Cricetulus griseus: one gene and its partners. The protein of the gene in region 7 interacts with the protein of the main gene of each other region in a pairwise test. Links are inferred from orthologs where the notes say so. Each region holds a gene or a part of one and is shown on either strand. Other genes may lie near its edges.

Evidence for each region.
Region 1: the proteins of Cep44 (region 7) and Cby2 interact in binary tests that used the Homo sapiens proteins (3 or more experiments, as listed by UniProt). The two-hybrid records come from large-scale screens. The link is inferred for Cricetulus griseus from reciprocal best matches to the Homo sapiens genes CEP44 and CBY2.
Region 2: the proteins of Cep44 (region 7) and huntingtin-interacting protein M interact in binary tests that used the Homo sapiens proteins (3 or more experiments, as listed by UniProt). The two-hybrid records come from large-scale screens. The link is inferred for Cricetulus griseus from reciprocal best matches to the Homo sapiens genes CEP44 and H2AP.
Region 3: the proteins of Cep44 (region 7) and Aqp1 interact in binary tests that used the Homo sapiens proteins (3 or more experiments, as listed by UniProt). The link is inferred for Cricetulus griseus from reciprocal best matches to the Homo sapiens genes CEP44 and AQP1.
Region 4: the proteins of Cep44 (region 7) and Rnf8 interact in binary tests that used the Homo sapiens proteins (3 or more experiments, as listed by UniProt). The two-hybrid records come from large-scale screens. The link is inferred for Cricetulus griseus from reciprocal best matches to the Homo sapiens genes CEP44 and RNF8.
Region 5: the proteins of Cep44 (region 7) and Txlna interact in binary tests that used the Homo sapiens proteins (3 or more experiments, as listed by UniProt). The two-hybrid records come from large-scale screens. The link is inferred for Cricetulus griseus from reciprocal best matches to the Homo sapiens genes CEP44 and TXLNA.
Region 6: the proteins of Cep44 (region 7) and Pop5 interact in binary tests that used the Homo sapiens proteins (3 or more experiments, as listed by UniProt). The two-hybrid records come from large-scale screens. The link is inferred for Cricetulus griseus from reciprocal best matches to the Homo sapiens genes CEP44 and POP5.

Annotation. Positions count from the first base shown.
Region 1 is NW_023276807.1:229,960,913-229,964,850, reverse strand, and holds the start of Cby2 (protein chibby homolog 2), read left to right. Parts: upstream 1-1,138; coding exon 1,139-1,213; intron 1,214-1,535; coding exon 1,536-1,616; intron 1,617-2,251; coding exon of another isoform or gene 2,252-2,299; intron 2,300-3,938.
Region 2 is NC_048604.1:115,609,487-115,611,744, forward strand, and holds huntingtin-interacting protein M, read left to right. Parts: upstream 1-1,404; coding exon 1,405-1,758; downstream 1,759-2,258.
Region 3 is NC_048601.1:85,971,847-85,974,755, reverse strand, and holds the end of Aqp1 (aquaporin-1), read left to right. Parts: intron 1-497; coding exon 498-677; 3' UTR 678-2,409; downstream 2,410-2,909. UniProt on the Homo sapiens protein: Forms a water channel that facilitates the transport of water across cell membranes, playing a crucial role in water homeostasis in various tissues.
Region 4 is NW_023276806.1:258,092,300-258,095,799, reverse strand, and holds part of Rnf8 (E3 ubiquitin-protein ligase RNF8), read right to left. Parts: intron 2,730-3,500; coding exon 2,622-2,729; intron 1,614-2,621; coding exon 1,409-1,613; intron 1-1,408. UniProt on the Homo sapiens protein: E3 ubiquitin-protein ligase that plays a key role in DNA damage signaling via 2 distinct roles: by mediating the 'Lys-63'-linked ubiquitination of histones H2A and H2AX and promoting the recruitment of DNA repair proteins at double-strand breaks (DSBs) sites, and by catalyzing 'Lys-48'-linked ubiquitination to remove target proteins from DNA damage sites.
Region 5 is NC_048595.1:23,404,282-23,407,781, forward strand, and holds part of Txlna (alpha-taxilin), read left to right. Parts: intron 1-957; coding exon 958-1,152; intron 1,153-1,510; coding exon 1,511-1,630; intron 1,631-1,871; coding exon 1,872-1,946; intron 1,947-2,876; coding exon 2,877-2,969; intron 2,970-3,500. UniProt on the Homo sapiens protein: May be involved in intracellular vesicle traffic and potentially in calcium-dependent exocytosis in neuroendocrine cells.
Region 6 is NC_048597.1:94,815,587-94,819,532, reverse strand, and holds Pop5 (ribonuclease P/MRP protein subunit POP5), read right to left. Parts: upstream 2,801-3,946; 5' UTR 2,763-2,800; coding exon 2,743-2,762; intron 2,656-2,742; coding exon 2,513-2,655; intron 1,299-2,512; coding exon 1,149-1,298; intron 961-1,148; coding exon 877-960; intron 795-876; coding exon 682-794; 3' UTR 9-681; downstream 1-8. UniProt on the Homo sapiens protein: Component of ribonuclease P, a protein complex that generates mature tRNA molecules by cleaving their 5'-ends. Also a component of the MRP ribonuclease complex, which cleaves pre-rRNA sequences.
Region 7 is NW_023276806.1:234,964,390-234,968,518, reverse strand, and holds the start of Cep44 (centrosomal protein of 44 kDa), read left to right. Parts: upstream 1-1,329; 5' UTR 1,330-1,772; exon of another isoform or gene 1,773-1,880; intron 1,881-3,955; exon of another isoform or gene 3,956-4,003; intron 4,004-4,129. UniProt on the Homo sapiens protein: Centriole-enriched microtubule-binding protein involved in centriole biogenesis. In collaboration with CEP295 and POC1B, is required for the centriole-to-centrosome conversion by ensuring the formation of bona fide centriole wall.

The DNA of each region.
Region 1 (3,938 bases), on a different chromosome or scaffold from region 7:
TGCTCCCCAGACTGATAGCTGGGTTACCAGCATGGGACTGATCCAGACCCCAGGAACATGGGTTTCATTGAGGAAACCCCGGAAACCTACTCTCTTCCTACCCCAAGGGGCAAAATCACACAGAACTGGGGCTCTTAAATGGATCTGGAGGTGACAGATTTGACAGAGCTAAGGATGGAGGGATGAGTGTTCTGGCCTTAATGCAGGTTCTACATGTGATATGTTTGGTTGTATTTTTCTATCAGAACAGTGTTTCTTAAACCCTTGGGATTTCCTGACAGGACCTCCTTTGAAACACATCAGTTTATGCTAGGGGAATGACTTTGGGGGTGGGGGGTGATTGTCAGAGGAACCAATCAGGTGATTAGAAGGTTGGAATTTTCAGCAAACGTCTACCTCTGGAAGGATTTGACATTTAGTTAAGTGATCAAAGGCTAATGATTTGATAAAATTTGCCTACATAATGGAACTCCACAAATACCTCTAAACAACTGGGTTCAGACATTGAAGATGCTGGGAGGCAGGTGTGTCCAGAGAAGGCCAGAAGGTTTACGACACTACCCTGTCAAACAGCTCACCCTTTATCATTACCATTTGGCCCCTCCTGAGCTGCATGCTTCTTAAAGTTGTGATCCTAAGTAAATTACTCTCCTGTGTTCTGAGAGACAGCTATTGAACCTGAGGAGCAGCTTAGGGTAACCCCTGCATGGCTAACCAGTTACAAGTACAGGTGGCCCTGATATGGGATTGGTACTTGAAGTAAAAGATCATCTTTTAGGGCCGAGCCCCTAACTTCTCGGAACCTGACATGTAGCTATTATCAGAGTGGAACTGGACTGGAGTTCCTCAGTAGTGCCAAGTCTCTCCAGGTCTAGACAGTTAATGTTTCTCTTTTCCTAATTAATGTGATTGAAACAGATGCCACCTCTGATGGGAGGTAGAGAGGTTCAAGCCAGCCTGGCAGTGAGGTGTGAGTGGCAGCCAGCTGACCAAACAAGGGCTATTGTGTGTCACACTGACCCGGGCTGGCCACCTGAGCACAGCCAGCAGCAATTCTTCCTTCCTGCAGAAGCCTCGTTCCCACCTGAGATGCCCGGAGAGAAACCATGAGCTCAGAAAAACACCATATTGTTCTGTGATGTCACCTCTGGAATGTTCTGAGTGTTTTGGTGACCAGCTTATGCATAGGACCTATACCTGGCACCTCACATTGGTATGGCTTTTTACTTATATAGAAATCGTAGTGTAAAACCAGGAAGAGCTGCAATGATTTCTTCTTGTAAGAGGGCTTCATATCAGTTCATTCCTGTCTTGGTTTTTTGTTCAGTGATCAGTGTCGATCAGTTCCTGATCACTGAGCAGTAAGACTTCTGGCCAGGCGCCATGTACACATGCCTTGAGACTGTGATTTTTATAAGGTATAAAATTAGTCAGAAGGACATAAATGTGTAGAAAGAGGTTATGTGTTTCAGGTGAGCCACTGAGGCCCTGAGGATGGGTTGAGAAGGAGAAATCTGATTCTTTCTTTTTCACAGCACTCGAGGCCAATTTTTACAAGAAAGAGAGATACCAGATCTGAAAGCCTAGAAATTCCAATCAATGTGGTTCTACCTCAGGTAGGGACAATCATGGAAGAATGTAACTTGCTAGAATAACCCTGTTTCCAAGCCTTACAGAATGAACAGCGAAGTCAGCCACTCAGATTCTTGTCATGTTGGTGTTGTTTTCCTGCCCATTTGTCTTGAGGAGGACACATGGATTCTCTGAACCTTGGGGTCCTCTGGCCTTGAATGAGGAGACTGAGTTGGATGGTCAGGTCCTCCAGCACTAGCCTTTCAAGATTTGTTGATACTATGACAAAAGTCTAACCTTCCCAAAGGAGACCCTTCATTGCATGGTAGTGTATAACCACTCAGGACATCTGTAGAGAACTAGAGTCAACCTTGAATCCAGATGCATAAGAATGAACACAGGAGCTGAAACCCCAGAATGGAGCCCACTTGCAATGGTCAAGAGGATTAAGCCCTGCCATGGGCCAAAGATGGTTTACTGGGGATGAATGTTCACTTGTTTCTTTTGAAGCCAGTGAATGATTAAAACACTTATAGCTTGTGGTCTCCAGATCTCCTGCACACAGCAACTTTCTCAGTGGGACCCCCTTTTACTTGAGTGTTCCTTCTGTTGCTATGTCACAAAGGGGTGGCCTTGCTTTCTCCAGTGTTACCCAAGAGCTCATTGGAAGACCAGGGTCATGCAACCAGTGGAGGAGAAATGTAGGATGGAGGGATCCAAGGCACAGGTAATTTCCCTAAAAGTTTGGTCTCAGGAGGTATGTACAAAGAGGATGGATCTCTGGCTGGTGTTCTCTATTAGTGTAATTATAATGAGCTCAGCAAATATGGTGAGAAGGAGACAGAAACACAGGACAAGAGAACCACCTGGGTATTTTTTTTCCTTACAGCATTGTAGTAAGCAGCCACAGTTACATCTCTTTCAGCTCATGATAGCTAAGCCAGATTATTAGGCAACTATGTCCTGGGCATCCTATAGAAGAACAAGGAACCTTGCTAGGTCTGATCCCTGACACATAAACTACACATCTGTGCATGAGGGTGGCCGTGGTTCCTTTGGTACCTTTATTAGCCCACATGTTAGGGGCAGACAGGAGATACCAGCCCAGATGTGGGAGTGGGAATGGGGCTGGGAATAAGATTTGAAAGTAGGTGTATTACTTGCTGTTCACATTGTTGTGACCAAATACCTGGCAAGAAGCAAGTTAAGGGAGGAAGTCTTTATTTTGGATCTTGGTTGAGGGGTAAATCTGTTGTGAAGTGGAAGCTATGGGGTGGGGCCGCTGCCTCACATCACTGCAGATCCATGTTTTTCTCAGTCCAGGATGCTAGTTCATGAGCACTGTAAGACCCTTGGAAAGCTGAGGCTTCCAGAATCTTAGCCCAGGACCTCGGCCACCCCAATCACAGAATGGAGGCGAAAGCTAGATGCAAATTGCATGAGGCTTTATTGTAGTTTAACGAGCTAACACCATGTTAGCTCGGGTCTTTGACCCACCCACCATGGCAGATGGCTAGCAAAGACAGTTTGAAGCTGCTGCATACAGATCTTTATAGGGCAGCATAAGGGGAGTGTTTAGGGGTATGCACAGGCTCAGGATTGGTGTGCCTCCAGGCTTGGAGGGTTTGCCCTGTGTTGATTGGTCAACTGGCTGTTATGGCCCATAGGCCCTCCCAGGGTGGTTGCTATGCTTTGTGCGTCATTGCTGTGCGCTTGTCCATAAAGCACACCCAGGGTCATAAAGCATAGCGCTATCAGCTAACTTCTGATTGGCTCCTTGTCACGAGGCAGGCATCTGACTTTCTAGTGACTAACTTCTGATTGTTTCCTTGTCACGAGGCAGGCATCTGACTTTCTAGTGACTAAGACAAGGTCATAGAGCACGTGTTTGGTCATTATGGCTGCCAAAAGGGAAGCTGGTCCCTTCAAGCACTAGCCACATTAAGTATGGGCCTCCCCTCTGTTAGTCCTTCCCCATAAAGTCCCCACAGACACATCAAGGATGTGTGCCTTGCTAATGCCCTGGGTGTTTCTTAATCTAGCAAGCTGACACAAAGCCTTCATTACTGCCATGCCATAGAAAGATTAGAAAGATCCATCTACCCCTGGCATGACTTTGTCCCTAGCTCCCAGCGCCAGCTTAGCAGTCAAGGAGAAAAGGTGTTTGAGGAGTCTTGGGTTTGTTCTGGTCCTTTCAGGCCTACTTCCTGTGCTGTGGGACCTGGATCTTGGAAGGCAGAAGAATATGGAAGGAAGAGGTCACTGCTGTCTGGAGATTTTTCATGGCCAGCCAGGCTTAGTCAGCAGTCATCTCTAGGTCACTTAAGTAAGCAGCTGGTGTTGAAAAGCAGGAAGAGGATAATTCT
Region 2 (2,258 bases), on a different chromosome or scaffold from region 7:
CAGGCCTCATTTTCAGCCCAGTTGAGAAAATTTCATCTAAACTATATGTGCATATTTATACACAGTTTCATATATTAATTTTTTTCTAATTTAAAGTCAATAGTGTGATTCCTTTTGACTCATTCAGATATCCTACCCCCTAGAAGGAACCCCTAGAAAGAGTATTCCAAAGCCAAACAAGGAAGTAGTTGGAGGAAGTAGTGGGTACTTACCACAAGGGAAACAGTTAGAGGAGATATGGAAGAATAAATATGCTCCAGGAGGGTACTAGGGGAGGTGGAGTGGTACCTTAAGCTACAGATTCAGCGAGGGGGGGTATCACATTATATTTACTAGCCCTTACACATCTATGTTACAGAACCAAATCTGTTCCTGGGGAATCATTGAGGTTGTTTGGATGAGACAATCTAAGGTTAGTAGTTCCTCCGTTAGTTAGAGCACTTTCCCAAAGAATGAAACAGAGACTAGGGGTAAGGATAGGGAAGCTTTTATTAAAAAGCAGAAGGGTAAACTTTAGATTGTTAACTGAGCACACAGTATCACCAGCTGGGTGTACAGACATATCAGATAGTCAGATGTGTTGAGGTTGGAAACCAGCAGTCTGCCCGGGATATCTTGAGTAGTGAGTGTGGAAACTGTTCCACCTCCTCTGGAGAACACAGGAAGAAAGAACCACATTGATTACTGTTGGATTTGTCTAGAAAGTCAGTTTCAAATGTGTTCTGTGTGGTTTCCATCCTCACGATGGGTGTTTGAGATAGGAGATGGCTAACCAAGTTTGTTAACATGAGTGATATTGTATCTTTTGTTAGCTTTGGACTAGGGAGGCACAGATACTTATTTAATGTGGTTAATTTAAGGCCCCAAGGTGCTCTAATGGTTTACCTTTAACTGAGCTGGGACAGGAAATTTGGGGATTACTTGATGATGTTTTAGTGTCTGAAGGATCTAAACTTCCTCTTTCAGAATATTCCTCCTTTCCCAGTTTCCTTTTTGCATACTCCAACAGTTTGAAGAGGTCAGTCAAACCTCTACCTGGAAAGTATATTTGATATGTTTACCAGTACCCTCTAATTAATGAAAGGTTATAAAGACAGTTTCCAATTAAAACATGTTATTTCTACAATGTTAATTTGACTGTAATTGAGGGGAGTTAAATGTTTCTCAAAATCAGGGCAGGGAGGTGAAACTGCTGTGACAGACATTTCTAGACTGAGGCCTAGTCTGAGCCCATTGGTGCCCAGACACCAATGACATCTCAAAGTCCAAGATGTCATAAAGGTAGCTGCTGACCAATGAGTAGAAACTGGGGATGCAATGAGCAGGGCTGAACATTGTCTCCCGAGAGCCAGTCCTGCTGGTGGGCCAAGCACAGCTTGCCGGAGCCCAAGCCATCAAACCATCATGTCAGGGAAGAAGAACCAAGGAAAGTCTTGCAGTGACAACAAGAAGATGGAAGATCCTTCTTCTAAGCCCGAGGTACAGATTCCTGTGAACTATGTGTACCATCTACTGCAGGAGGAGCAATATACACCCTGCCTAGGCTCTACCACTTCAGATTTCCTCCTCGCCATGCTTGATTACATTACTGACTATATCCTGGAGGTGGTGGGCTCCGAAGCCAACATCAACAGCCAGCAAGACATCCCACAAGACAGAGAGAGGCAAGGGGACAACGACCATGACCATTCTCATGCCTTCAAGAATGCACCTTTCTCTCTGTTTGATGAGATGCCTGGACCCAGAAGGAATGGCTAAAGAATTGGGGACAGAACCCAAGGGTGGGAAGCCTCATGAACTCAGCTAGGACCATGATGGCTAATAGCAGAGGAAACTCCCCTGGTTCCATGAATACTAATAAAGTGTTTAAGTGAAAGTTGGTTGTTCTAATTCTTTTCACTTTGTCTTTCTGAGTTAGAGGTGTCTGCAACATACTAACGAAAGGGTGGAGGATGGAAGTTGTGGTTTGCAATGGGTGTATGAATCAGTGACTTACAGTGAGCACATCTCTGTGGGGGTGGCTTAGGTGGAGGGGTGGAATTGGAAGATGGGAGGAATTGGATGGAGGGAAGGGCAGGGAAGCCATCCTCATTGACTCTGAATACAAAAGAAGCCTTGGAGAAGCTTGGAAATTGGTTGGAGCCTCACTGGCAAGTTTGGCTTTTAGTATGGTAACTTAGAAGACACTGCTGATGACCAGAAATTCTGCTTGGAAGCCTTGTTTTATGGGAGTGAAGGTCTCAGAAGAAAATGCATGC
Region 3 (2,909 bases), on a different chromosome or scaffold from region 7:
CTCTGTCACCTTGGGATTTAACAACCTCAGGCAGGCTCTGTGCCTTGGTTTCTCAGGCTGTGAATGAAGCAGACTTAGGAGAGTTGTCTCTCCCAGGGCTTTTAGGATCAGGAGAGCACCCATGTCTGCAAGCAGAGCTCTGAGCAGAGGAAACATTGCGTAGGTTTTTGCTCTAATTACTGTTGGTCTGTGTGCTCCTGGCCACCCTTCTATTAGACTTGCCCATCTCTGGGAACCTTCTGAGACTGGGGGAAGGGAGTAGTAGTACTAGCCATCCTCAGGAACAGGCTGCTACAGAGATGCCTGAGCTGGGTACAGAGGCCAGGACATGTCCCTACTACGCACCCCAATATGGGCCTACACTGAGAGGCACTGGAATCAGAAAAGTAGGGGCCTGGTCTGTCTGATTCTGACTCAAGGCAGATGCAGGGAGATCCCAATGGGGAGGACGGGTGGTGTGGCCAGCTGTCCTCTAAACTCTCATGCTTCTTTCCTAGATTTTCTGGGTGGGGCCATTCATTGGGGGTGCCCTGGCAGTGCTGATCTATGACTTCATCCTGGCCCCACGCAGCAGCGACCTCACAGACCGCCTGAAGGTGTGGACCAGTGGCCAGGTGGAGGAGTATGACCTGGATGCTGATGACCTCAACTCCAGGGTGGAGATGAAGCCCAAATAGAGGAGGCTTGGCCTAGGCATCCATGTGGGGGTGGGGCAGGGATGGGCGGAGGGAGGGGAGGGCTGAAATCATATTGTAGATGCTCTGACAAGCTGACCAAAGTCACTCCCCAAGACCTGCCTGACCTGAGTGGTCCCGCCTTGTCCGGGGCAGCAATATCACTGTCTTTCTTTCTGTTTCCTGGTCTCAGAGCTTCCTGGGGATCAAGATTTACCAACTCAGCACCTCATTCCATTCCCATCATAGAGGGGTGAAAGGGAGGAGCTCACCTGCTATTGTCCCCTCAGAGAGTGCTAGGAAGTCCCCCTCATCCCAAAGTTGCCCAGCAAGTCACCCACCTCAGGTGCCTGGGATTCTGCTGTTGTTGCTTTGTGCCTTTGATCATGACCTTCCTTGAGTAGGCATCTTGTCCCCAAAGACCCTTTGAGGGAGAGGAGGTCCCCCAACATTTGCCTTTGGTCTGACTTATCTCCAGGACCTATGCCCTTAGACTCACTATAGGACCTTGAAATTGTCCCAATGCTGGGGCCTCAGTGACCACGTATGTCAAGTGGCAAGGAAGGGACAGTTACGGGGACTCATTAAGTGTGGACATACCACAGGTTCTAGAAGGAACATTGTAGACAGCACTGCTGTGTCTACCTGGCCTGAGCTCTTTCCCAACATCCAAAGCCCATGAGCACATGTGGATGAGCTTTGAAGCAGAGATGTAGTTCAGGATGCTGGAAGTGCCTGTTCACCAGAGAGGCTTTCTTTAGTAGGTTTGCTGTAGCAGAATGAAGGCCGTTTTGTGGTGGAAGAAAAGTTCACACCATTATCTAGCTCTACTTGGTCTGCCCATCTAGCATGGCCTTGACTGGATAGTTTTTTTTTTTCAGTTCTCCAGCTCCCCTTGCAGTGTAGATTTGAGGAATGTGTTTATTAAAGAGCATTCAGCTATCCGCAGCACCGTGTCCAAGGAGGGAAGCAGCTGGATGTGGAGCAGTCCTGGGACAGACGCCCATGCTGAGTATGCAGGGGCTTGGCTCGCCCTAGTTCACATCATGATCAAGGAGGCCATTCCTGCCCTGGCTTATGATATGCTGGCTGGCTGCATTTGGTCAGAGCCTGGACAACCTGAACAGGCTCACTGTGTGACCCTACACATAGTCTTCTTTCCTTATTGACCTGATGATGCTTGTGCTTCAGCCCAAGGACAACTCAGAGCATAGTCAGCTCAGGGGTTGGCATCTTGAATTCAGCTCCCTAGGTTGGTCCATTCATCAGGCCAGAGTGGCTCCACCACTGTGCCCTTGACCTTGTGAACATAAACCGAGAGATACATTCTTCAGGTTCTTAGAAGTGGCAGGACAGTTAGGAGGCCTATGGCTGCACGCTCTTCTCCATTCCCTAGCAGGCACTGTAGCCCACTTAACAGATAAGGACACTGAGGACCCATGTGCCCAACTAGATCATATTGGGTCAATCTTAGCAGCCAAGGCCTTGTCTGTCCACTCCCTGGTCAATGAAGTGGTCTCCTCTCCCCTCCAGTTTCTCAGTTTCTGCCTGGGTAATGGCTAAGGGCCAAGGTGTGGTGAGGGAGGGACATGCTGGAGAAGGCGGGGCAGGCCCATCCCACCTGGTTCTGACCACTATGATCAAGGACCCCTCATCTGTCTGCTCTGTACATGTTTCTTTGCAATTGAAATTTCATCTTATGGTAAGAAAATAAAGGACAATGACTTGTAAGGTCTTCCGGGCTCCCTGTGGTTTTTGCTATGTTGGTATTGTATCCTCACAGAGGAAGTGATCCCTACCCTGGTCTCACTGCTATGCCACTCAGTCTGGGAAGAAGGCAGATGTCCTTGGGTCCTAAGGGGATGGGTACAGCTACAGCACCGGCCCTAGGGGGCACAGGGTCTTAATCTTAATAGGGAGACTTCTGAGGATGAGGAGATCTTGGGACAACTAGGGGGAAGTGAAGGAAAATTTGGAGCCAATTTAAATGGCATGATAGGAGCCATTTTGGGTTCTGGAAGATGGAAGAGTTAGGGAAAGCAGGGTTGAGGTCATACCCCTGTTAGCCCCTCTGTTCTCAGGGCAGAGTCTCAGGGCAGAGGCTTTGCCAGGCCTCTACCCTCTCTCAGCTCACCCGGAAAGCCTCACCTATACTTGTGTCTTGGGACTCCCAGGGGAGCTTTTGGGGGTTGACTTATCAGAGAAAATTCCTCCTGTGTTATGCTATACTGAGAT
Region 4 (3,500 bases), about 23 Mb from region 7:
CCCAGGCTTCCCGATCAGCTTCCACACTGCCAGTCCTATGATGCGCTGGCTGCCTGCCAAGTTAGTTCCACAGCACAGCTGCCCCACCAGTCAGCAGCAGACTCCTGTCCCTACTTGAAATACTTGACACCTGCAGTAGGGCCAGGAGAGAAGAAAGCTACAAACAGAACACCCAGTTCTTGTTGACAGTATCAGGCCTTTGAGGCTGCCCAGCATCGCTTGGAGTACCGCCAAGCCACACACAGTGGCGGGGTGGGAGTATGGACAGCAGCTCCTCAATTCCCAACTCTCAGAAGGTAGTGATGGAACAGGATAGCCATACGCCTCTGCTCAATAATCGACACATCCTACCCAGCAGCTTCCTTGCTTTGCTCTAAGAGTCTCTTCTGCCGCAACACCACCAAAACAAGTGGCTCTCTCTTGGGCTGGAGAGATGGTTCAGTGGTTAAGAGCACTGGACTGTTCTTCCAAAGGTCCTGGGTTCAATTCCCAGCAACCACATGGTGGCTCACAACCACCTTGAATGAGATCTGGTGACCACTTTAAAAAAAAAAATATTAAAAGAAAAAAAAGAAGTGGCTCTCTGTAGGCCTTGACACGGCAAGCCTGTGTGTGGCACTATCACTTAAATCAGTGGTTCTCAACCTGTGGGTCACGACCCCAAGAGGCTATTGGAAAATACAGAAGTTTGCATTATCCACAACAGTAAAAAACTGCAGTTATGAAGTAGCATAGAAAATAATTATTCTATGGTTGGGGGTCACTACAACATGAGGAACTGTATTAAAGGGTCACAGCATTAGGAAGGTTGAGAACCACTGACTTAAATAAATGAAGATCCCTTCTCCAATCTTTCCACCAAAGTCTTCTAACCGGAGACCCACCAGGACAGAACAGGCGTGTGCACACGGAACAGTACTGGGAGGAACCCAGGGCTTTGCACATACTGGGGAAGAACTGCTGAGCTACCCGGGCCGTAAGCCATGGCTCTTACAAACAGAGCTGGTACGTGTTTCCCAGGTATTCTCCAAGCCGCGACTCCAACTTACACACATCTTATTTATAATATGTCAACTCAAGTGGCAGAACCAAGCTGTCTTCAGCAACAGCACCATCTGGTGGTCCATATGGCAAGCCATCTGACTGTGTTTTCGAGTCACAGCTTTCTTTTACCGCCCTCCAAGGACCAGGGTATACACACATTAAGCTTCCTACCTCTTGATGCTCAAACTCCAGAGGCTAGGTCTAGTTCAGTCCAACTCCCTTTACACTTCCTTTCCTCCTGCCTGTCCTTAATTCAAAAATCACTGACTACATTATAATCCCCAACTCACCCCTTAAAAATACCTAATGGGGTTCAGAAATAATTAAGTCCTTTGTTGAGGAGGAACTCTCAAAATCCACTTACCTTTCCGTTCCCTGAGAAGGACACTCCGGTGTTCTTTCACTTCTGAGCTCAGATTATCCACCATCTTATTAATGCAATTGTCTAGAACCAGGGAGTGGGTTTTGGACTCAATATCCTTTCGACAAATGGGACACTCTAGTTTCCGTTTCATCCATTCACTGATACAGAAGGAGCAGAAACTGTGGGCGCAGTTCAGGGTGACAGCCTGCAGTGTGAAAGGGACACACAAGGACACTTGACACTCTACTTTCTCAAAGCCAGAATAGGAGCAAATCTGCAAGGCCAAAAGGAAAGCTCACCAGCCCCATCTTACAAAAATGCTCTCAGTAGGAACGCATGCCTTTAATCCCAGCGCTCGGGAGGCAGAAGTAGGCTGAGTTTGAGGCCAGCCTGGTTTACAGAGTGAGTTCCAGGATAGACAGGGCTGTCTTGAAAAAACAAACAAACAAACAAAAAGATGCCCACTCCCCACCCTTTCCTATCTCCCTTTCTTATCTTCTGCTAGTTTCCAGAGTCCTGAGCAATGCTGAGTTTCTCCCCAGCAGGGAATCACCAGACTGGAAACTGCAGAAACCGATGACCTATAGTCAGTGTGAATCCACAGGCACAGACACTTCTCCTGGGAGATTCCACAAAGGCTAACACCTCCAACATCCTGGAGATTGCCTCAGAACACGACTCCTCTGTACGTGTGTTTTCCTTTCCAAAGCTATCTGAAGCCCTGCCATTTGACAGCAGTATAAAATGAATTGGTTACAAATGCTAGAAATTAATGAAAACTAAAAGCTGGTGACGACGTGACAAATGGTAGCCTAGGAGAGAGATGCTTCATTTTCAAAAGGATCCTCAAAGCCCTGAAATATGCACTCTGGCCCCTGAATGCCCCACAGTAACCACACAATCAATGGCATTCCAAAGGACACACTACAAGTCCACACTGAGCAGTGTGCCCATCCAGAGCAAAGAAAGGACAGCGTTAGTGGTCAGCTTTATCCCAATACTTCAACTGTGCTAAGTAAACATCCAAGAAGAGAAAAAGCACAGTGAAGACGGCATGATGCAATGAGGAGTGGCCACCTTCTGATGTCACCTTGAGATCAAACAGCTCTAGGTTTCTAAACAAAATTCCCTCCAGCGTGACTCCCTGTAGCAGCAGCAGCCTGGAAGGCTGGTGAACCGTGTGAGGCGGGGGCCAGCCACCGTGCATACTTAACTCAATGAAGTACTCGGAGCATATGATACACTGCAGCTCATTCTCCAGCACGTCGTTCACATGGCTGAGAACCTCCTCCTTCTGAGCTTGCACCTTCTCCTTTTCTTCCTGCAAAGACACAATGCCACCTGTCACCTGGGGAAATGAGGCAGAATGCAGGACCGGGTGAGCACAAGGTACGCTGAGTAGAGCAAATGCCTTCCGGTGCAAAGGGCTTCCAGTGTAACGATGCAAGAGAAACTCCCTGAGAACTGCCCCTTAACACAGAACACTAGCTCCGTCTTTCCCTTTGTTGTGGCCAATTCCCGCTGAAAGCTAACCTGCAGTGTGACAGCAAGAAGGGGCGAAGCCCACCTAAGGGTGAGTGACCTAGGACAAAGCCTGCAAGAGCTGGCCCTGCTCTTGCTCACACCCTGCTCCCATGTGAAGAAGACAGGGTCAGTGTCATCCGTGAACCAAGATCATGTCCTCACCAGACTCACATCTGCCCTCACCTTCTTGGGACTTCCCAGCCTGCAGAACTTGGAAAGATAAATTTCTGTTGCTAATTAGCTACCCAGTTTACGGCATTTTAACTACAGCAGCCCGGATGAACTAAAACACTTACTTTTCCAGCACCTGTATTATATGTCCTTTGGTTCCTTTCCCCCAAATTAGCCAAAGTGGGTGGGGGAGCACTAAAATATTCTCTAGCAAGGTACAACCCAAGTAATAAAAACTTTTCCCTATACTAAAAATTCACATGACAAGATATAAAGAGCACTCAGGAGGCAGGGGGCTGGAGTGAGCTGTGTGGTTCCTTGTGCTGTCAAACAGTATCTTTGATGAGCAAAGGATAATACCTATGTTCCTCTGGGCATGGCTGGAAAGATGGCCTCC
Region 5 (3,500 bases), on a different chromosome or scaffold from region 7:
GAGGTAATTACTGCCAAACCTGATAGCCTGTGTTCAATCCCTGGGACCCCCATAGTGAAAGGAGATAACCCACTCCTACAGCTAGCTATCCTCTGACCTTCACATGTGGACCATGGTATGCATGTGTACACACAAGCAGTAAATAGAATTATTTTTAAAATTGCTTTAAGATGACAGAATGTTTAATAAAAAAAGAGACAGGATTTTATCATCAGCACATTTTATCATTTTGTTTTCTATGGGAAATGAGCAGGAATACTTAATCTAGAATCTGGGAACACGAATTCAGAAGATCCAGACTGCTTCAGAATGGCACTTAACATGTATGCTGAGTATTCTTTTTTGTGTGGGGGGGTGGGGGTGCGAGACATGGTTTCTCTAACCTAACCCTAACTGTAACAATAACTCTTTCCACAAGCCTCCTGAGCCCCACCATCACATGGGTGCCCAAAATAACACACAGAGATTAGTATTAGGTACAATGCTGCTGGCCAATAGCTAGGATTTCTTATCTGCTAGCTCAGTCTTAATTATCAACCATAATCATTAATCTATATATTTTATAAAGACTTAACGAAGATGCTGGCCTTATGCGTCCTGTCTTCCCGGGGATCACATGGTGACTCTGACACTTTCCTACATTTTCCAGAATCCTCCTTCTCTCCTAGTTCTGCCTATGTTGCTTTCCTATTGGCCAACAGTGCTTTATCAACCAAGAAGACAAATGCATACACAGAAGGACCTCCCCCATAACCTAACCCTCAAAGTTGTGTGCCACACCGTCTGGTTCAAAAGGAGAAACTCAATTGATGTCACCTGATTTATAACATCCTGGAGCCTCCGTGCTTCTCATTGTGGGGCCAGTAGCTCTGTCGGCAAAGACTGGACTAGTTAGGGGTGCTTTGTATAGAGCTTAGAGCTGTGGATGATGGTTCAAGGGCTGGCTTCTTTCTTCAGGAAGAAGGTGTGCAGCGAGCCCGTGAGGAGGAGGAGAAACGAAAAGAGGTGACTTCACACTTCCAGGTGACACTGAATGACATTCAGCTGCAGATGGAGCAGCATAACGAGCGAAACTCCAAGCTGCGCCAAGAGAATATGGAACTGGCGGAGAGGCTCAAGAAGTTGATTGAGCAATATGAGCTTCGTGAAGAGGTGAGGTGGTCAGCAGCTTGTGAGGCTCTAGTGAGTGCCAGAGGCACTGGGGCAGCACTCTGCAGGCCTATTCTTGCTCTTCAAAAGATGTGATTCATAGACAAGGCACTGAAATGGAGAGAAAACATTTGGCCCACAGGGCCTTCCCTCTGGTGTCTGAACCAGGGATCTGTAGAAATACTCAGTTGTACAGTAGAGGTATAGTGTCCTATCTACACATTAGGTTGAGGTTAGGAAAGTGACCTCCCAAGGACAGTGGGATCAAGATGAGACTGGATAAAGTCCTTGTGTTCTAGAGTTGGGGCTTCCTTGAAGGGGTACTCCTGACAAGCAGATCCCATTAATACCTTTTCTACAGCATATCGACAAAGTCTTCAAACATAAGGACCTGCAGCAGCAGCTAGTGGATGCCAAACTCCAGCAGGCCCAGGAGATGCTGAAGGAGGCAGAGGAGCGGCACCAGCGGGAGAAGGAGTTTGTGAGGCTCAGGCCCCCCAGGGCTGTGGTTGGGATACAAGGAAGTGGGCTGGGTTTTGGCTTAGCTCAGAGTCTAGTTCATATGGGTGGGAGAGGATTTGCCTGCCCGGTCCCATAACTGCCTGTTCAGATGACAGTCTGAAAGCAGGTAGCCTCAGTGGGTCCAGTGCTTGTGGCTAAAGAAGGCCAAACATACCCCCCAGGGGCTGCTGACAGGTTCTGGGGTCCTGTCTTGGAAATAGCTCCTGAAAGAAGCAGTGGAGTCCCAGAGGATGTGCGAGCTGATGAAGCAGCAGGAGACTCACTTGAAGCAGCAGGTGAGACTGGAACCTTACCTGCAGTCATGTGGCCCCATCTTTAGGGTTGTGACAACAAGACCCTCATCTTATGCTTGTTCTGAGCCAACTGCTGTGTTCGTCTCAATCAAGCCTTTTATTTAAGAAAAAGTTGGGGGCACTGGAGAGATAGCTCAGAGGTTAAGAGCACCGACTGTTCTTCCAGAGGTCCTGAGTTCAATTTCCAGCAACCACATGGTGGCTCACAACCATCTATAATGAGATCTGGTGTCCTTTTGTGGCCTGCAGGCATATATGCAGACAGAACACTGTGTACATAATAAGTAAATTTTTTAAAAAAAAAGGAAAGAAAAGGTTGCCAGGAGGTGGTTATGCGTGGTTGAAGCTGGAGTTAGGGTTGTGGTCTCCACATGGGTGCTGGGAATTAAATCCACATCCTGTGGAAAACAGCCAGTTCTCTTAACTGATGAGCCATTTTCTCCAGCCTCATCATTTTTTGTTTTTGTTTTGTTTTTTACTCTTTTGTTGTTGTTATTTGTTTTGTTTTTTGTTTTCTTTTTTTGGTTTTTCAAGACTGGGTTTCTCTGTAATTTTGGAGCCTGTCCTGGAACTCACTCTTTAGACCAGGCTGGACTCTAACTCAAAGAGATCACCCACCTCTGTCTCCCAAGTACTGGGATTAAAGTGTGCACTACTGCTTCCCTTTGTTTTGTATTTTTAAGAGACCAGTGTCAGAATCTCTATGTGCTGAAGTCTTCTCAAGCTTACCTTCTAGTTTCTTTTTGTTGGAGCACATCCTTCCTGTGCACCGCTTTGGTTCTGTTTTACTAGGAAATGGTGTCTCAGTCGAATGGTTTTATCAAGGGCCAAAGGGATACTTGAATTGAATGTGTTACCCAGAGATGCTTTCAAAGAAGTCCAGCCTCATCTCTGTGCTTATCTCTCACCCAGCTCGCCCTGTACACAGAGAAGTTTGAGGAGTTCCAGAATACACTTTCCAAAAGCAGTGAAGTGTTTACCACATTCAAGCAAGAAATGGAAAAGGTAACCAGAGGGTTTGGGCCGGGCCAAGAGGAGCCTCAAGCCACTTCATTCAGAACTACCTTTGGGTGCCTCATATATCAGAAAGAAGTAGTTACAAGTGTCACAGCCTCCTCTCTTCCCCCTCGAGACACAGTTTGTGTTTGTTTTTCTATTATTTCTTAGTTTGGTTTCTATATTAATGCTGGAATTTAAAGTAGTAGAGAGTATGCCTTCCATTACTAGGCTTCAATAGTAGCCTTCCTAAAAAATATTTACTTTTATTTTTTGGCTTTTTTATTTATTTGGTTTTTTGTTTGTTTGTTTTTGTTTTGTTTAATTTTTTATTTTTATTTCATGTGCATTGGTGTTTTGCCTTTATGTATGTCTGTATAACGTCAGGTCTCCTGGGACTGGAGTTACAGACAGCTGTGAGCTGCCATGTGGGTGCTGGGAATTGAACCCCAGTCCTCTAGAAGAGTAGTCAGTGCTCTTAACCACTGAGCGGTTGGTTGGTTTTTGAGACAGGGTTTCTCTGTAACTTTGGAGCCTGCC
Region 6 (3,946 bases), on a different chromosome or scaffold from region 7:
TCAGACCATCTGGGAACCAGAGTATTTAATATATGTGAGTCATTCTCCTTCAGAAAACCCCACATGCTAGGATTATATTCCCACAGCATTTCCTATCAAGTCACCTGAGCAATGGTCAGCTAGGTATCCTGGTGTTTGTAGTCCTAGGATACAGTACTAAATTGACCTAGATTATGCAAGTGTAGTTGGTTATTCATCGATATTTCTGCTTTACACGAGTCTACCCCACCCCCAACCCCCAACACTTTCTATGTGTAATCCTGGCTGTTCTGGAATTCACTCTATAGACCAGGCTGGCCTCAAACAGATCTGTCTGCCTCTGCCTCCTGCTGCTGGAACTAAAGGAGTGCACCACCACGCCCAGGTTTGCATGAGTTCTTATAGTAAGGGTCTAGGAATATTTAAAATCCATTAGTACCACAGGGAGCACATCCAAGGCCAGAGGACAGACCTGGCCAAGCATCAACTATATAAGTACTTTTTGCGATTTACCAATGTTGCCCTGGAAGCCAAGACCATTTGTTCTACCCACTCAGCTCAACAGTTACATACAAAATGTCTGTACAAGGGTTCCAGGAGTGTAGATGGTGCTTTGGTTGGTAGTCAGTTTGGAGAACTGTGTGCTGCTGCTGCCAACTCTCAGTTTGGTGGCTCCACAAATGGGCTGGAGAATGGGGCCACTCACTCCACTATTTCCACAGCCTCCTCACCAGCACTGTCTGAAAGCTCTTCCGCAGACTCTTTCTCCAGTAAACAGCTTCTTGAGACAGACTTCCTAATGGCTTCCCGCTCCCCTAGAGGAACGGAAGACATCCTTGGTCATCAATCATCTTACCACTGAGCCTCAGGCACCACCTGCCCTGGCCTGTTGCCTACCTTCATCAGTGCAATTCTGCAACAGGATCAACAGCTGTCTCCGGTTGTACTGAATCAGGAATTTCTGACAGGTTCTAATAGTACCTGGTGCATGACAGAGCTTCAGTGGACAACGGCTTGTGAAACAGTCACTCTTTAGGGGGCGGTGGGTCGGTGGGTGGGTGGGTGGGAGGAGCATCTTGTTCTTAGTGGGACAGCAGTAAGACCCACCCACCCACCTGCCAGGACTGAGCCCCAAACAGCCACCTTACACAAGCTACCATCACTCTTACCTCCCACGTGTAACGTGTTGAAAAAACACGGATATCGGTGTCCTTTGTTCTCCAGATATGTAATGAAAGGGAGAGCTGACCACACAAGCTGGTAGAAATCCTTTCGGCATCGCAGTAGCACTACTCCAGTGTAGGCATTGAGGTATCGAACTACAGTAGGAAGCGAAAACTGGAGAACTTCCCATTTACAGGAATAGAAAAAAAAAAAAAAAAAAAACCCGGAAAATCCCAGTATATGCCAGTGACTGTTCTAGACAAATGTCTGGGTGGATGCATCACTGAGTAAATTTGTGATGTTTTGCCCTTTGGGACCAGAGTTAGATAGTCGCCATGTGGTGCTGGGAATGGAACCTTGGTCCTCTGAAAGAGCCACAAATGCTCTTAACTGCTGAGTCCTCTCCAGCCCCACCAGTCTCACTTAAAAAAAAAAAAAAAAATTGTTGAAAGGTTATTTCCTTTGAAACAGTCCCATTATGTCATCCTAGCTACACCAAAACCTGTCTGCCACGATGCTCAGCTTGAAATTTTATGATAAACCTTCCAGTGACCATCACTCAGGTCAATATATAAAGTGAGAGAGAAGTTCTACGGCCGTCCCATTTCAGCAGGAAGTAACTTGGAGGATGATAGGCCGCCCCTCCCTTCCCCCATTATTGTCTATTAGGGTAGTGCTAGTTAGGGATAGCTTACTATTGTTTATGGTTGGGATTGGAAGGAGGTGTCCAAAAACAGCAGGGGGAAAAAAAAAACTTTCCGGTAAAACAGGTGTCTTTACAACCGGTTTCTGTGGGTAGGTCCCTCTTTAACGTAGTCTCACCCAAAGCAAGAATTTGTTTACGTGTGTTTAATTCTGCAGAATTCACGTTTAAGATTACGGTAAAACGAGACCAGCCTGGTCTGCAAGAGCTAGTTCCAGGACAGCCTCCAAAGCCTGTCTCAAAAAAACAAAAAACAAAAACAAAAAAAAAAAAAAAGGAAAGAAAAAAGATTAAAGTAAAAGAAGCTAAAATGTGACATTCGGAGAAAAAGAAAGCTTTCGAGTTCAGCACATCTTTCCACATGAGAGTTCCTGTGCACTCGTCCGTCCGTCCGTCCGTCAGAGGCGCTTTAAACTTTAAGGGATAAATCTGACATTTTAAAACGTGCTAACGTAACCTATCAGGTCAGAACTTTTACGAGGAATTCTACACGGCTACTTTGACCTAGCCCAGTAACTTAAACGGAATACCCTCCACCACCACCCCCGCCCCCGTGCTGGGTATTGAACCTTCCGCCCTGGGATGCTGCGCGATTCCCAGGCTTTTCTAGAATCCTCCAGTATCCTGCCAACCGCGCCGTGCGCCCCGGCCGCGGCGCCCCCGTACCTGCAAAGCCCACCGAACAGGCGGCTGCGCCGAAGGTCCCGTGCACCCGGGCGATCGTGTCGCGGACGAGGCCGCCAAGCACGCGGTCGTCCAGGCTCAGGCGGCAGCGCGCGTCCTCCGACACCAGCTCGCACAGAAGGTACCTGCGGGGGACTGAGGTGAGCGCGGCCCGGACACGCCGCCGCCGCCGCCGCCGCCGCCGCCGCGGGTGCGGGGAGGACGACACTCACCTGTGCTTGAACCGCACCATGGCGTCCGCGCCGGATGAGGCAGGGAGGCGGGACTGGGCCCGATAGGCCCAGTGCCCTGTCAATCCCCGCGCCCCGCCTCCCGCGGAAAGTGTAAGAGCGCATGCGTCCGCCTCAGCCTGGCGCTGGGGATTTCTCACTCAACTTGTACGTGAGCTTGTGTTCCCCAACGGCGGACCGATTTTGAGGCCAGGCCTGCACGTAAAGCCCGAGAATGCCGCGGGAATCGGGGCCTTTACAGAAGTCAGAGCAGAGGTTTTCCCATACAGCCAAATACGCTAACTCTTTAGGAGCTCCCGCAGTTTCGTGGAGGTTTTTGTCAATTGGTTTGCAAAAACAATGTAGTACTTTCCCTCCCTCCCTCCCGTCTTTTCTTTCTTTGTCTTATGTTCCCCAAGCTAACCTCAGAATGGCTGTGTAGCCAAGGGTGACCCCAAGTTTCTGATTCCCCTGTCTCTTCCTAGCAGGTGCTGGGATTACCACTATGTGCCACTCACCACACCCAGCCCCTTTGTTTTCTGTAAGAATAGGGATGGTGAGCCCAGGACAGCCAAGGCTACACAGAGGAAACCAGAACAAACGGGGCGGGATGGGGACAGGTTATTCATTTGAATATCTTTTTGTGATTTAAAAAAACAAAAACAAAAACAGGATCTCATTCTACCTCAGACTGGAGTAGAGCTGGAAGCAATTATGCCTCAATTTCCCAAGAGCTGGGATTACAGGGTGTGCCACCATACTAGGTTCATTTCACTTAATCTTGTATGTAAAGTGCATATTCTTTTCGTTGTTTTTTGAGACAGGGTTTCTCTGTTTAACAGCCCTGACTGTCCTGGAGCTCACTCTTTAAACCAGGCTGGCCCCGGCCTCCGGAGTGCTGGGATTAAAGGCATACACCACTAGGCCAGTAAAGTGCATATTCTTACGTGTGCTACTGAGTGAAGACGATTCATATGACATAGATAGCACTTTAGTACTCTGTAAGTTCCCAGGCCCTCACCAAAGTCCTTAGAAAGAAAGAGCCACCATTCCCACTTCTGTGGAGCTGGATAGGTGTTGCCAGATCTTGGCCTTGATGTATGCATTTTACAGCATACCTGTTCCGTGCAACATGGCTATAAGTCTGCTGCTTGCATGTATTTTCATGTCACCTGTGCTGCCACAAATTTATCCCTCATCTGCCCAG
Region 7 (4,129 bases):
AAAACAATAAATTTATTTATTCTTCATTCTGAAACTCTTATTTTGCAAACCATTTTCACAAAGGTAATAGGAAGTTTCTCTCTTAGTACAAACATGAAACGAAAGAGGGGTTAGTGGGCTGTTACACATCCATAGTCTCAGCCTTGGGAGGCCAAGTTGGAAGGATTGCTAGCTAGGGACAGTCGGGGCTACACAGAGAATTCTACACCAGCCTGGAGTACATAGGAGACCCTGTCTCAAAATAAAAGGGTAAAGGGAGCGCAAATGCTGAAACGGAAAAACAAAGTGTATTCAATTGCAGTAATATAGGCAATGCTTTGACGAGAGCAGCAGGGGTGGGGGTTCGTAAAAATAAACGTCTGGCATGTAAACCATTTAGCCACAATTATTAATAAGCCATTACAGAACGCAAGCTTAAAATATATCGAACAGGAAGTGCAAATGGATCATGGGTTTGCTTGTTTTGTTTTTGTTTTTTGTCTGTCGAGCAATATGTATTAAGTATATATCACGTGGAACGTGTAGGAAAACAAAAGACAAGAGTTTAACCAAATTTATTCTCAAATTGGGGGACTGTGGCAACTAGCAAACAGCAGTGATCCTAAACTGTACATATTTGGATTCGTATTTATTGGGATGTCGTAAAAAGGAAACAAAAAAATGTCAAAGCGTGCCTGGGCGCCTAATAACACAGCCACCACCATGAAAGCAACCTGAGGTAAGTAACCTTCACCGTTTGCCCGCATTCTTGGAGGACAGCATCGCGTCGCTCCTGCAAGTCCCAAGTTGACCTCTATACCCCTGGCCTAGAAACCCCGAGACCTACGCCCGCCTCCTGACGGCGACACGCAGTGTTCATAAGCCAGCGCCGCTGTCACTCAAAGCGTCTCGGCGTGCCATTGGTCCTAAACTATCGCCTACCCCCCGGTGCTGCCAAGTGGCAAGCACCCCTCGTTTTTCATTTCCGAGCATAAAAGTGAAAGAGCGCAGGCGGGAGAGACCAGGCTTTGGAGGCATCCGGGCCGACGCTAGTACCTGAACGACCTGCGATCCCCGCCGCCGCCGCGACGACTCTGCCTCTGGGCGGGGGCCGTCAGCCGCAAAGAAAATGGCTCAGCCGGGAACCGACGCCCAAGCCATGGAGAGGCCCGTCCAGACCGCGCGTGTTCACGCTGGAGAGCACGGCGGCTGCGAGGGCACCAGCACCAGCACCAGCCCCAGCCCCAGCCTCCCGGGAATTCAGAGCACCTCCGTCTGCAGGAGCCGGAGTGGCAGGCAGGGCAAGGTTTTTGACGTTTCCTATTGTTGCCGGAAGTGACGTCGGGGAGCGGGGCCCCTTAAAGAATAAGGACTTCGTTTTCGTCGTGTCCGATTCGCCGTACGGTCTTTCTTTCCCGCTTCCCCTTCTGAACGACCGTTCCCATCCGAGTTACGCTAATCTGAAACATGACACTCAGCGTCAGTTGTATAATTGATGAGGTTCTCATGGGAATTGAGTCTCCCGAGGAAGCCGCTCGGGCGGAGTATGGAATCTGCACCGCGGAATCTGAGAGTGAGGGGCAGCCCGTGTGTAGCCACTTTTCGCGGCGCGCTGGTACCCACGGTTCCAAATCCAAACGGTCGGCGCGAGAGGAGCCCTGGAGCGCGGGCGCTAGGGCTCTGGGGCCGGACACCTGGTTCCCGCCACTTTCTCGAGCTACTTATGCTCCCGTCTCCTTCCGTGTTGGTGCGGTCGCCTTGGGAACCCTTCTCTTCGGCTTGGCGGCTGCTGGGTGAGCCGGAGTCTGCGGACAGGCTGTGCTGCTCTGGCTGGGACAGAGGTCTCCTGAATGCTGCTGCACTCACTCCCCCGGGTTCCTGAGTTGTAGGCCTATGATCAGGTCTGCTGTCTCATCCTTCTAAGTCTAGGGGCAAGAGGGAGATCCTATATGGCACTTGCTTATGTACCCAGCTGGTAGATGCTTTGGGAGGCAACCAAGTAGGAGGAATCATAGTCCACCTCTTAGAACTGGTTTGCGACTTAATACTGGGAGGTTAAAGGCACTCTGGGGTCTCCTTTGTCTTTTCAGCCCAGGATACATCTAGACTGGCTAGAAGAGTAAAAGTACTTCGTGTTCTCTTTGCTTTCGTTTTCATGAATTTAAAGAATTCTCCATCTACTTTGAGGACTACAGATTTTTTTTTTTCTCTCTATGAAGAAAACTAATCTTAACATTTATTCTGGACTCATGACTGCACTAGACTATTTTACAGAATTACTTGCAAGCATTTTTAAAAAACAGTTTCATACACAAACGCAGCGGTCCCATTGAGCCATCATTGCTGCCGTTTGCTCTAGCTAACTCCCTTTTTTTATCCCTCGTCAGAACTTTTCTCTTACAACAACATTTTACTAGTATCTATTACTGGGGGGCTTTGTACCTTTAATTTCTACAGATCTGTATTCCTCTATCTAAAACTTTGGTTTTTAGATACATTGCGCTAGATCTCAAAAATCTTAGTTATCCACCGTTTTTATTAAAGTCTAGTTACTTCATACTGAACAAAATGATTTTTGAGTCCAGTGATAGCTTATATGTTTAAAGACCTGCAACAACTATGAGACTGAGCTGAGTTTAAAACGAAAAAGCTTAAACTGCTGGCCTGGGCATCTAGCTCGGTAGTAGAGCCATTAGGTGTTATTCCAAGGCCCTGGGTTCAATTCCCACTGCCCACCAAATCCATGTTGTGCCTTTCCCACAACCTTTTTCAGAAATTCAGTTGGCAGATTTGATTTGCTCAGAACTCTTCAGAAAGCTGGGTAGACTATTGGGACCTTAGTGATCGAATCTGCATACTTTATTTACTTAATGTGCTATGATACATAATATAAAGTGAAAATGTAAATCAGTTTTATTTTTCAGTAGCATTTTTTTTTCATCTCAGAAATTTGTAGAAATTTGCTTCTTGGCCTTTTGACTAAGATGAAGTGTGAATCATGTATCAATATTTGATCAGCTTCAATTAATAATCTTAATTTTAGTGCTTACTTATTTTTTAAAAAAACTGGGAAATCCTTCCTTGAAAACATTTTTCTATGATCTTTTTTAATGTCTTCATGTTTTTCTTTCCTGTCATATCATTTTTCTCCTCCACCTACAGATCCAAGCTGTACTTGAATCTTACTCTTGAAAATATTTATTCTGCTGGTGGTGAAGAGGATGTGTTCTGGGGCCATACTTTATTGCCAGAAATATCACTACCAGAGGTAGACATAATGTAAAGGTCAATGTGTTTCTACAAGGAAAAAGTATTAGATAAAAATCACATGTCCCGGAAAAATGGGATATGAATGAAAGGAAAGAATTGTGTTGAGTCAGATGGGTCTGAAACCTAAAATAAGATCAGACTTGGAATCTTAAATCTCGGGAGTAGTTCACACATCCCCTTTTCTAGGTGATAAAGGTTGATTTGGGAAGTCTGTCTTAACATTTCTGTATGTCTGTCTAGCCCTGGCATCTGGAAAGCTGTGAAGTAAGGCTTATAGTTTTGAACTATATTTTGTATAATTTTATTCTAGGATCACTTACTTTTTTTTCTCCCTAAAATCCTCATTGCCTAAATATGTTAATGTTTAATCAATGTAATTTAGTGTTTCAAAAATGGTGACCAAAATGCCAATGAAGAGTACAAATGTTCAGCATCTTGGTTTTCATTGTGTTAATGAAGAGCAGACTGAAACAGGAGAAGATAAGGTGCCCAAATCTAGGGAAATGGCTACGGAAAATGGGAGGTGGCCCAGGCTTAGAAATTTGGAAATTGCTAGGTTTATTTACCTCCCTTTATGTATGTAGATACAGAGATGTCTGAAGGAGTCATTTATATGTTGGATAGTTGCTAAAATGTAGACTGTGAGCAAAATCACATAAAGTATATTTCATCTAATTCTTGAATTGTTTTTTGTTTTTAATGTCAGTGATTTCATTTTAAAGGAGCTTCATTCTCAGAGAATTTATTTCTCAAGGTACTTTTATAATTTTCTTAAGTAAGATATTGGTAAACTATGGGTTTGTTTTGTTTTTTAAGACAATCATCTGATTGGCAACAACATGAAATCCAAGCCCTGGGGATAATAACTAAATCTGAGCTA